Saccharomyces cerevisiae S288C: one gene and its partner. Changing the gene in region 1 together with any one later gene gives a genetic interaction. Each region holds a gene or a part of one and is shown on either strand. Other genes may lie near its edges.

Region 1 (7,985 bases):
TTACACATAATATTCTTTTGTTAACTTTCACTAACTTCAATTCATTTAGACCTAAATGCTCGAATCTTTCGCATGCTTCTCTCATTTCCATGGGAGATATCAGGCCTGTACCTATACGCATAGATTTGTTGTACATTGCATATAGATCTACCAGAGTTATGATCATATAGTTGGTATCACTGTTCAAATCTTTAAACTCGGACAACGTGAACTCGTAAATTTCTCTCGCAATCTCATCCAAGAACAGCTCTTTATTTAGGAACTTCTCTCTATCAAGTATCAATAGCGGTCTTCTCGTTTTCGGTTCATTCACGGTTGATTCATCCTGTAAGTTCAATGTCTTGGTTTTCATCGTTATGTTGCTATTTTTGTATAGTCTTTCGATGCTGGTAGCCAGCGACATTAGCTTGTTTAGGTCGGTCAACGCATTGTTAAAGAGAATGTCATTGTTCAAAAGCTGGTTTTCTCTAGATTTTTCCAAGCTTGATATGCCAATTCTGCTCAATTTAGTCTCAATAAATGGCACCTCATTGTTGTATTCGTGAGAACTAGCCCCTTTCCTCATGTCTACACCATTTACAGAAACCACATTCTGATTGAAAATATGCTTATTCTTTTCAGTGAGTATATTCTCCAAAGCCCTCTCTGTAGCTTGTGAAAACAATACGCCATCAGATTTGCGGAAACTCAATTGCACGAATTCTGTCGATGATCCTGTCGAGGACGAGGACGATAATGCCGAGTGCGAGCTCTTGTTTCTAGCCAGTGAATTTTTTTCTAGCTCAATATGGACCCTAGAATCATGAAAGTTTAGCCTGTTCAGCTTTGATCGTACTTTGGATGCATTAGGCAATCTGTGGCCGCAAATCTCGCAATTTCCTATTTGAGGATGATTAGCAAAAGTACAGGCGGGGCAAATGTTCTCAGAGTTCACTCCGAACTGATTCTGTGGGTTGGCGTTCGGGTCGATTGCATTAGAACAATTTATAGACGACTTGGTGAGCTCATAGTCCGCTGGCACACCGCAATTGATACAAATGGGTGTAGGTAGAGTGTCTTTAGTGAATTCCCCCTGCGTTTCGTTCGAAACCATACAGATGGGGCAGACCCACGTCGAAACAACGTCGGCACTTGCTGTTTCCGCACTTTTACCAAGTTCATCCTTACTGGAGGGGTCCTTGAAAAACAGGATCAGACGAGGTGATCTGGTCAAGAAGCCAGATGAATAGTTTACATACGCTAGATCGTCCAATTCCAACCCAAGCGAGTTCTGAGTGGGCTTTGCATCGTCGATGTAGATAATTCTTTGTGACGTTAAAAAGATTCTGCCCCTCTGTCGCTGTAGAATCTTAGATTTGCCATGGTAAAGACCTACGGACTGATCGATAAAGATATCTTTTTCACCTTCTCGAAGAAGAGGTTGGCCCGATGACGTAGTTTCCACATAATGCCAGTACTCCATCTTTTGAAAAAAAAAGAATGACTTTCAAAACACACTTCCTGATTCCTAGCCGAGGTCCCCTATTCTATCTTGGATGACCTTTTCTCTGCTTTTTTGTTTTTCAGTCTCCATCTTTTCCAGATGAAACATGTGAAACCCTTTTTCCTCTTCGTTGATCCTAAAAAAAGCGCGTCTGGAAAACAAGGCGAAGCTTCCTCACATGGAAAAGGCTTCTTAATATGTCGCTACGCCTCATTCCCATTGCATACAGAAAGCAAAGTAGTGCGTTTTGCGAACGTCACAGATCAAAAGTTTGGCCATGCATTGTCATTCTTTTTTTCTTACATACACTGCACCAGACATGTCGGTTCCGCCCCGCTAACGGTTAGTCAGCCACACATTGACGTACACTGTGAACAGCCTATTTCTTTCCATGTATCTCAGTGCCCAGCTTATGAGAACTGTCACAGCCTCCCACTTGACCCTCAGAGCCCTCTCCACTCCCCCCCTCTTTCAACATCGCCAGATAGCCGCCGTTGAATGGTGCGGGACAACCCGGCCTGGCCTGGCCAGGCAAAAAAGGACGCAGCACGCCTCGAGCGTTATTTCCAAATCGGGCGTACTATCAGCCAAGCCCAGCTCGGTATTTTTAGCGCTTCTCGCAGGAAAATTGGCTGAGAAGTATATATACGCGAGAATGTTGCTCTTCCATGTCTCAGTAGTCAATGAGTGTCCAGTGGTGTTTCATTCTGGACCAGTTGTTTGGAAGTAGAACTAAAAGAAACTAGATCAAGATCATACAACGCTGCGCAGTAGTGAAACTTGATTAAAGCAATAGAGAACTATTAAGAAAAAAACAAACACATCATCGAAGGACGCTATAAGCATGAGGAATTTTTTCACGTTATTTTTTGCAGCTATATTTTCGCTAGGAGCACTTATATTAGCCATTGTTGCATGCGCAGGATCAACGAAAAATTACAGTCCCATAAATAAAATTTACTGTGCAGAATTGGATCTGTCGCAGATGAAGGTATCGACGGTGCTCCCTTCTTTGAGTTCTGCTACGCTATCTTCGTTGGGCCTGCCCTCATATATAAATATAGGGCTTTGGTCGTACTGTACAGTGGACTCCTCGCATAACATCCAATCATGTTCTTCGCCTCACGGTATCCAGAATTTTAACCTATCGTCATTAGTGTATGACAATATCAACAACAATGAGGCTCTGGAGCTTATGGATTCCGTGGCCAGTGTTGTTTTGCCCGAAAAACTAAAAAGTAAAATGACATACTACAACAATTTGGTCAAGTGTATGTTCATTACCATTCTTATTGGTATTGTCTTGACCTTTGTGAATCTAGTGTTCAACGTATTGCGCTGGATCATCCACATAAGGCCGCTAACGTGGTTTGGTGCCTTTTTTTCATTTTTCGCCTTTGCCGCCCTATTAGTCAGTATAGGTTCGTGTTTGGGCACTTACTCATACATCAAATACATCCTAAAGCATAACTATAGTGATTACGGTATTTCAATGAGCATTGGTAGGAACTACCAGGGTTTGATGTGGGGGGCTGTCGTTGGAGCATTACTGAATTTCATTCTATGGTGTAGCGTGAGATCGAGGCCCACCGTCATCTATGCGAACGCTCCAATTGAGGAAAAACCATTGATTTGAATTTGAAAAAGGCAAGGTTATTAATTAATTTTTGTGTTCCGTTTCATATTAAATATGATTAAAATATATTGTCTATATACAATTCAGAAAATTATAATGAAGAAAATTAAAAGGATGGAGAATTGAAAAAATTTACGGGGTGATGTTGCATGATCTTCTTTTTATTATTTTACCTTGCAAAGTTTTTTTCAGCATCAATGGGGCTTTCGTGTTCTTCAATGATTCTTGAGGTAGTAGAGTCACTTTCTTGAACAGCTTTCTCAGCTTCCACGATGGCAGCTCCCTTTCTGCTGCTCCACCAGCAGTATGCAATGCAGAGAAATACAAGGACGGCAAATACAAATCCAGACCACATTAGGCCATAAAATGGAGAAGAGCCAGAAATAATGACATCGTAATTGTCCTTCTTGGAGCCGGATTTCATCATATTAAGGATGACGCTAAAGATTGTGCTTCCCAACCCGCTGAAAATACATATCCAACAGGAAATAAAGCCCAATGCCAACCATAATTTTTGACTCACCACGGAACGTCTACTTAGTAGCAACAAGAATACCATTAAGAAGAAGGATGTGATTATGCACATTAAGTTCATAGCTAAAGCTGCTTTCACTGCTGGGACATACATGTGTTGTCTGTCTTGTAATTCACCATCTAAATGCAAATCGTCCTTACCGATGTTCAGGGCATCCATATAAGGTTTAAAGTCCGAGCCTTCAATGTTGTTGTAAACAATCGACCGGAAATCCATGTTTTGAACAGCGTGTGACTTGCTACACGAGTACATTGTTCTGTTTAAGTGAGCACGACACATTGTGAAAATGGACAAACGGTATATGACAGGGATGTGTAGATATTCAAGGATAGAAGGAGTCATTTCCTTGAGTTGTTCTGGTGTGATAGTTGTCATGTTTACAGCAGAGTTTAAAATTTTCAACATGGGCATAAATGTAGCGGCATTAGTTTCTGCCCATTTGGTGATATTAACCAGAGAAGAGAAACTTGACACGGGGTCGCTTGACGCAGCTAATAGGCTGAACAAGTATGGAACGTACTTAAGTAATACGGTGTTATTGGCCAATTGGGATTCCAAAGTAGGGATTATGGAAACAACTGTGGATGCGTTAGCACTTGCAGAAAGGATTTCATCAAGTGCCACCAATTGGTTAGTAGAGGAAGCGGCTTCTTTAGAGAGGGCCAAACTTTCGACAGATGTTAGCAGCTCTGTTTGGTTTGTAGTGTAATTCAACAAGTCAGTCAAAGCACCCATGGCAGCTTTAGCGGAAGATGATTGGGTAATGTTTTCGGCAATCATAGTGCTCAATACGGATAATGTTACATTTTGAGATGTAGTTTCATCAAACAGAGTAACAACAGCTTGGACAGCTGGTTTTAAACTCGAAGGAACGAGGGAGCCTAATTGCATAATAGTTTCAGTAGCATTGCCACCTTCCGCAAGACTGGTTTTTAGACTAGAAAACAATGAGGAGACCGTTGAAGTTGGAATGGTAGAGTTCATTATGGTTTCTAACGCATCGCATGTGGCAGTAATGTTCTTGGAACTTGCGAATAACTCGAATACAGGCGACAATTTTGTCTTTTCTTCTGTGGTCATATTATTTAAAGTGATCAAAGACTCAGTAGTGCCTATAGGATTGGTCGAATCCACTAATAGGGTTAGAACAGTATTTTCTAAGGAAGCCGAAGTAGAAGAAGTGTTGGTTGACATAGATGACATCAATGTGCTAAACCCATCCAAGAGTTCGGTTGTGTTTTTAGAGGTAGTCAATAACTCATCAAGAGCGGAGAAGGTCGTGGTAGTAGCGGTATTGGTTCCTAGCAAAGCCATTGGAGCCAACTGTGTCAAAGATGATAATGTGGCTGAAGTGTTAGCAGCATTAGACAACAAGTGCAGTAAAGGAGACAAGGCTTCGGTAGAAGCGATTGCCTTAAGAGCGCCGAAGATGGTATCCACCGTTGTATTTGGAGCGGTTAGAGCAGAACCTAACACAGTCAAAATTGGGCCAACTTGTGGCATAACTTTTGTAACGTTGATTTTTGATATATCAGCATCACCGATATAAATGTTCGTTATTGGCTTATAATTTGAGGTAGAACCCGCAGTTGCAATAATGGTCAACAGAAATGTTGTAAGTGTCAATAAAGCACAAATCGGGAGGAGTATTTTAAAATTCATCGCAATAATTTGACTGTATTACTGAATTTTTATTTTACTGTATCAGCATCGCATCTACAAGCTATTATGAAGTAAATGAAAATCTCAAGGCTTAATGTGAGTAAATGCAGCTAGATTGTCAAAGGTTTATATATTTTGTCGTTCTTTTTACAGGAAAAAAAAATTCTGTGTAGAAGTGTAAGATCTATGATTGCAGCAGCTTGAAAAGCGATAAGTTTGTTGAGGATTTAACAATTTCAACTTTTTTTTTAAGCAGAACAATAGATTGACGTAGTTAAATTTGTCTACTAAGATCTGTAGGCAAGTTTTTTTTTTCCAGGGACGACGCCGTATAGAAAAAAGCAACTAGGGAATTTACCAGGCCATAATGCGGTGGATTCAAGCTAAACGAGTACTGAGGGGAACTTTAATCTTCAAGGCGGTATCCAGGCGGATTTACGAAGCAACTGACGGAGTGCTGCAGGAATTTAAAGGAGAGTTCTGGAGCGCTTAAATGCACCTAAACAGTATCCACGGAACATACTGTACTAAATACACGTCAAACGGGAACATTTCAAAAAAAACTTAATAATATAACTCAGTTTTTTTACATAGTGATAAAAGTGATATATTCAAGTCTTTTTACTATTTGCTAGGCATCCAAACCGTTTTGTTTAGACGTATCACTATTTTAGCATCACTTATGCATTTGTGCCAGAATGGACACTATTACAAACCCCACCGTGCCTCAGCTGAGAAGGTCCCTTACCTAAAGAAAAAGAAAAAGAATTCTCGAAACGAAGGCAAGGCAAAAAAAAAGAATGAAAAGAAAAAAATAGGAACTGTTGAATTTTTTCAACAAAAAAAAAAAGAAAAAAAACGGGTCCTAAATGCGGTGTGTGGGTTATAAGATGCCGCAAATGAAAGAATGCTATTTAGAGTAATCGATTATCATTCTTATTATAAGCTAAGTTGGTCAAGATGACCTGTTTGACCTAAAGACAAGCACTAACGCAGGCACCGCACTAGTACTTAAGTTTTCTTACGTGAAAAGGAAATATGGGTGATATGTGTCTGTTCCACTCATATCTTTTGGTTTCTAATTTTACGTAATCTCTTGTATTTTCTTGAGAGGGTAAATTTTCACGACGCGTCAGACGCTTATATGAGGGACGAAGTTACATATTTGAATGCATTAATCAAGAACAATATTGTTGAGTAAGCGAATAGCTACCATTGTTCGCAGTTCTAGGATCGCTAAACAGAAAAGGTTACTCTCCACGTGTTTAGAGGGCTACCCACAAACCGTCATAAATCATACCTCCTTCTTTGACGAGCGTATTGCGCCGTTCGAATGATTCATTCCGCCAAGAACTAAATGAACTTCAGGTTTGGGTCTTTCCACTTTCTTAACCCAACCATTCGTTTGCGTCCTTTTTGCCCCAACCTTGATCTTAAAAAATTGCAAGAAGAACTTTATTTATCAATTCGCCCGCGAAGTTAAAAAAAACCGATCTTCGCAGGCACTCGTTAGAACTTAGAAACAGTTCCTCTTAGGGCAAGCGCCCTTGTCGTATTTAGCCTTCTTTAAGTTGAGCTGTAACGTTGTTCGAGTCCGAGAAGTATCCTTGACAGGGACGATAACCATCAGCAGGAAAAACGGTATTTTCATTTATATCCTTTCCTCGAGGAGGGCTTGAATTATGCAATCTCTAAATACTATTCAATTCAGAGAGTAGATTTTTGTGGGCAAAGTAGACGTCGCTCTCTTTCAGTATACGTTCTTGAGCTTTCCATTTCAATGAACCGGCAACTAAGTTGGTATCCTTTCATGATCCTGTCGAGTACATTTATAACAATCATGTTGATTGTTCCAGTATCATAGATAAAGCGGTCTCGTGTCGTTATTGATGGTAAAGCGTCAGGTTACGATGCCCTGAAAGGTTACAGTTTAGTTATAAAGTACTATGTAGTGAATGATATGTTAGTACTCTATAGCATGTAACGTCAAGTCAGAGAAGGAATTGATCCAGGGTTTTTCCTTCAAATACTTTCCTTCATCAAAATCGGTGAGTATTTGGCAGGACTTAAACTTCGGTGCTATTGAATCATAGTCTATATCAGATGGTGTGACCTTGAGTTTAGAGGAGTTGTTTCTGTTTTTTCTTTTTCTCTTTGGAATGAATGTTGCAAAACCATCTACATCATGTGCTTTTTTAACTTCTGGCGGAGCGTTAGTCTGCAAGTAATGAACTAGCTTGCTTAAATTAGGATAGTTTTCACAAAGTTTTGCTTTGGTGTATCTATCGGTGTGTGATATCATATTATTTGCCAGCCATAAGTGTGGTCGCTGTGACGATAGTATGTTCTCAGTTAAATCCAAAGGAGCATGGGGAAGGAAATATAATACCGATTCATAATCAATTGCATCGTTCTCTGAAAATTCTTCCTCTATCAGCCATTTGCTTCCTAAACTTTTCAAGTACTGTATCTCTTCTTTAGTAAATATTGGATCATACAGGGAAACAACGACATCCCTTTCATCCTCACTTTTTATATAATCAGTAATCTCTAGGAGAAGAGCGAATTGGTACGTCGCAGGAAAATCCTCCTTGAAATTTCCAATTGCAACACATCGTATTTTCTTAATGTTATTGAGGTGCGGTTGTAAATTTTCAAGTAAATCTGAG
Region 2 (5,159 bases), on another chromosome or scaffold:
CCTAGAGGTACAAATACAAGCCCTGATTAAAAACAAGTATACACAATATGATTTGAGTAACGAATTGATCATATTTGGTTTCAAGCTGCTTATTCAAGACCTGCTAGCGCTATATAATGCTCTCAACGAAGGTATCATAACTCTGCTGGAGTCTTTTTTCGAACTATCTCATCATAATGCAGAGAGAACTCTAGACCTGTACAAGACGTTTGTTGATTTGACCGAGCACGTTGTCAGGTACTTGAAGAGCGGGAAGACTGCGGGCTTGAAAATACCCGTCATCAAGCATATCACTACCAAACTGGTCAGATCGCTAGAAGAACATCTGATAGAGGATGATAAGACGCACAACACTTTTGTGCCCGTTGACAGTTCTCAAGGAAGTGCTGGGGCCGTAGTAGCCAAATCTACTGCACAGGAAAGGTTGGAGCAAATCCGGGAACAAAAAAGGATACTAGAGGCACAATTGAAAAACGAACAAGTAGCGATTTCCCCTGCTCTAACTACTGTCACGGCGGCTCAATCTTACAACCCGTTTGGAACAGACTCTTCTATGCATACTAACATTCCAATGGCTGTGGCTAATCAAACGCAACAGATCGCAAATAACCCATTTGTATCTCAAACTCAGCCACAGGTGATGAATACACCAACCGCTCATACAGAGCCCGCAAATTTAAACGTTCCTGAATATGCAGCGGTCCAACACACAGTGAACTTCAACCCTGTACAAGATGCTGGCGTAAGTGCCCAACAAACGGGGTACTATTCGATTAACAACCATTTAACACCCACATTTACAGGTGCAGGGTTTGGAGGATACTCCGTTTCACAGGATACAACTGCCGCTTCTAATCAACAAGTCTCTCATTCACAAACTGGTTCTAACAACCCGTTCGCATTGCACAACGCCGCGACGATCGCAACAGGGAATCCTGCACACGAAAATGTCTTAAATAACCCATTTTCACGACCAAACTTTGATGAACAAAATACCAATATGCCGCTACAACAACAGATAATAAGTAACCCTTTTCAAAACCAAACGTACAATCAACAACAATTTCAACAACAAAAAATGCCTTTGAGCTCGATCAATAGCGTTATGACAACCCCTACTAGCATGCAGGGATCGATGAATATTCCTCAGCGTTTTGATAAAATGGAATTTCAGGCTCACTACACTCAGAATCATCTCCAACAACAGCAACAACAGCAACAGCAACAACAGCAACAGCAACAACAGCAACCACAACAGGGTTATTATGTGCCTGCAACTGCAGGAGCCAACCCTGTTACAAATATAACTGGGACAGTTCAACCTCAAAATTTCCCTTTCTATCCACAACAGCAACCACAACCGGAACAGTCTCAAACACAGCAACCAGTTTTAGGAAACCAATATGCTAACAACCTCAATTTAATTGATATGTAATATCTAGTATAATCAGGTATGTAAGGGAGTACTCAAGTGCATCTTTGGATAGCTATATATAGTTGTAAGGAAGAGCTATGTAATTTTTGCCATTTTGTACATATTTTGCATTTGTCCTATAGTATGTAATACTTACATCTTACTGTCTTCAATTCCTCCCGCCAACAAAAGATTTCGATAGCGCCGCACCATGGAGTTTATATTGTTATTTCCGAGACGACCTATATAAGGGAAAAGACGAAAACTGGGTATTTGATACTTGTCTAAACTTCAATGGACAAATGATATAAAATACAAACAATGAATAGTAACCGATGCCAAACGAATGAGGTGAATAAATTTATTAGTAGTACAGAAAAGGGGCCTTTTACGGGCAGGGACAATACGCTCTCTTTTAACAAAATCGGGAGCAGACTGAATTCACCACCGATTCTGAAGGATAAAATTGAGCTGAAATTTCTACAACACTCAGAAGATTTGAATCAATCACGGTCCTACGTAAATATTCGTCCTAGAACCTTAGAGGATCAAAGTTACAAATTTGAAGCGCCAAATCTAAATGACAATGAAACTTCTTGGGCCAAGGATTTTAGATATAACTTCCCTAAGAATGTTGAACCGCCCATCGAAAATCAAATCGCGAATCTTAATATAAACAACGGGCTACGGACATCTCAGACAGATTTTCCCTTAGGCTTTTATTCACAGAAAAACTTTAACATTGCTTCCTTCCCTGTGGTTGACCATCAGATATTCAAGACAACAGGTTTAGAACATCCTATCAACAGCCACATTGATTCTTTAATTAATGCTGAATTTTCGGAACTGGAAGCCAGTAGTTTGGAAGAAGATGTCCATACAGAAGAGGAAAATTCAGGTACGAGTCTGGAAGATGAAGAAACTGCCATGAAAGGTTTGGCTTCCGATATAATTGAGTTTTGCGATAATAATAGTGCCAATAAAGATGTAAAAGAAAGACTAAACAGTTCAAAGTTTATGGGGCTGATGGGCAGCATTAGTGATGGTTCTATAGTTTTAAAGAAGGATAACGGTACAGAAAGAAACCTTCAAAAACACGTAGGTTTTTGTTTTCAGAATTCAGGAAACTGGGCTGGTCTTGAGTTCCATGATGTTGAAGACAGAATTGCTTAACGGGCCTTGAAATTTCTTTAATTTAAACCATGAATTTCAGATATATAACACTTTTTAACCACTTTCAAGAGAAAACAGTATTAAATTACATACTGCGTTCACAGCTATACGTAAAAAGAGTGACAAGTGAAGAATAAACGTCATTTTGAAAAAGGAATTAGAAGTCTGTCATTTCAACTGAGTTTTTGACGGAGGAATTATCATTATCGGGTTCTCCAATAAAACTTAGCTTGTTACTACTTCTTTTACTTTTTTTTTCTCGTGTTCGATGTCCACTTTCATCTGTGAGACTATTATTCCCAGCATTGTCTTTCTGGAACTTAGTTGTCGTTTTAAATTTCCTCATGTTTAAACTAGAATCGTCGCCACTATCTTCTGCTTGCCCCCGGTTCGTAATTTTATGTGTACTTTTTTTCTGTTCATGCTGTCTATCGCTTTTATATACAGGATCACATCTGTTATCAGTAATAACATCATTATCGTTTTCTTCTTCTATACCGAGTAATCCGGCCTTGACATCGCTAACAAAGCTCCAAAGCGACCTGGAGACTGATCCTTGCGAAGGAGATTTTTGGCGAGCTCCAGGTGCTTCATTATCGTACTGTTGCGCGGACGACTCGCTATTACTAGTCGGTGTCCCTTCCTGTACCTCAGGCGTACCTGAAAGAGAGTCATCCCAATTCAGAGTTCTTTCAATTTCATGCTGAATGATTTTATCAAACTGATTAAACAGAGCTAATGGTTTGCTCCAAAGTGACTGTTTGGATGAATCTGACGAGTCGTCCCTTTGGCGCCTTTCTTGAATATCTTGCGGAGACACAGATCTTGACTGATTAGTACTTTGATGACCCATGTTCTTTGGTTTACTGACAGAACTAGGAAGGCTGCTGTTACCAGCATTTTCAGTTCGTGATTCCAAAGGTATATTCTGGTAAACCGGTGAAAAAGCCCGGTTTTTAACAGGTGTATTTAGAGAGGGATCCAAATGTTTACTCACTTGCTCCTTGAGTTCATGCAGTTCACGTGCCCGACGAGTATAGTTTTGCTCTTCATGCTGGGTTTGCTTTTTCAAATCTTCAATCTTTTGTTTGCATTCCAGAAGTTCTAACTCTTTTGTAGCGAGAGATTGTAGAAGCGCACTTACATCGACCCCATTTGTTGGTATGGTGGTCGCTATCATACTATTAACCGACTGCGAACTCCCATTTCTAGACCGTCGAAGTCCGCTGGCCATCGCTTGCTCACTAGAAAGTACAGTGGTTGACTCTAATGGGATTCCATAGGATCCCTCAGAATGACTTACTGAAGGTAAGTTGTTTTGAGATTCTGGTGTAGTGGGAACAACCATGGGTTGAATAAGTGATCTTCTCTTGCTCATTGCATTTGGAACTGAGACAGAAGAATGACGAGTTACCACCCTCCTAGCATCTGGCTTGGCTTGTAAGGGATGGTCCTGGTCATTTAATCTGGTAGGCGTCATTAGTCTTTGCGAATGCATGCTTCCCGCACTGGACGTACGATGGTGTTCTAGCCTATATCCATTGGAACTAGCAGAACGAATCTTTCGTCCAGTTTTCCTCACAGGTGACATCGAAATTATACTATTTCGGGTACTGGTGTCCACATCCAAATCCTTCTCATTAGACTCTATAAACTCGTCAAATTTATTCATATCAGTGCCCTAGGAGATAGATTTAATTATCCTCGGATCCATGTAGTGGTAATTGAGAAAAGCACAGTTAGTATTGGCCTTTTTCCTTACCTATTATATTGAACTTTACAACTTGTACCCTTCATCACCTTTGGAATCACGCGGCACGTCTTCTGGGGACTTGGCGACGCGGTTGTTGATAGTAAACTACAAGCAAGCATTCCTTTAAAATACGAAACAATAAGATATAGAAAAGCAACAGGGCTCGTTCTATAAAGTAATTGTTTTGCTTGATTTGTGATACTTACACTTATTAACAAATTCACAGTAATTTTTCAGGAAAAGTTAGAGCCCGTTTGCTTCAATTTGCACCTAGAAAATAACTCAAACATGGCTGGATTCAGCTTCGCCAAGAAATTCACTCACAAGAAACATGGAAAGACGCCTTCTGATGCTTCTATCTCTGACCAATCTAGAGAAGCTTCACTGTCAACTCCTCCAAATGAAAAATTTTTCACAAAACAAGAAACGCCTCAGAAAGGGCGTCAATTTTCACAAGGTTACCATTCTAATGTTAATAAAACTAGTTCACCACCTATGTTTGCCAGAAAACAGGTATCCGAATCAAGGATTCAACCGAGCGCAGTACCACCGCAACAGCGAAATGTCTCAGGACCGTCCACTACTCTCCATAAGCAGCTTTCAAAACAGAGAGAATATACCGTATGGAATAGAATCAAGTTACAGAATTCTCCTTTTCCACGTTATAGACATGTTGCTTCAGCATATGTTACAGACAAGAACCAGATATATGTTATTGGGGGACTTCATGACCAATCTGTGTACGGCGATACATGGATATTAACGGCCTTCGATAATGCCACCAGATTTTCCACTACAACGATAGACATAAGTGAAGCT

The links. A genetic interaction does not mean that the proteins touch.
Region 2: mutations in YLR415C (region 1) and PEX18 together harm fitness more than expected from each alone (negative genetic interaction), as found in Saccharomyces cerevisiae (2 studies listed by BioGRID).

The regions. Positions count from the first base shown.
Region 1 is NC_001144.5:948,487-956,471, reverse strand, and holds YLR415C (uncharacterized protein), read left to right. Parts: upstream 1-1,874; coding exon 1,875-2,213; downstream 2,214-7,985. Other genes in the region: ESCRT-II subunit protein VPS36, read right to left, coding at 1-1,462; PUN1 (Pun1p), read left to right, coding at 2,328-3,119; INA1 (Ina1p), read right to left, coding at 3,289-5,316; YLR412C-A (uncharacterized protein), read left to right, coding at 5,999-6,205; BER1 (Ber1p), read right to left, coding at 7,280-7,985.
Region 2 is NC_001140.6:416,649-421,807, reverse strand, and holds PEX18 (Pex18p), read left to right. Parts: upstream 1-1,735; coding exon 1,736-2,587; downstream 2,588-5,159. Other genes in the region: YAP1801 (Yap1801p), read left to right, coding at 1-1,435; TDA11 (Tda11p), read right to left, coding at 2,745-4,259; KEL1 (Kel1p), read left to right, coding at 4,629-5,159. UniProt on the Saccharomyces cerevisiae protein: Involved in peroxisome biogenesis and the import of peroxisomal matrix proteins that contain the peroxisomal targeting sequence PTS2. Required for peroxisomal targeting of PEX7 and growth on oleate.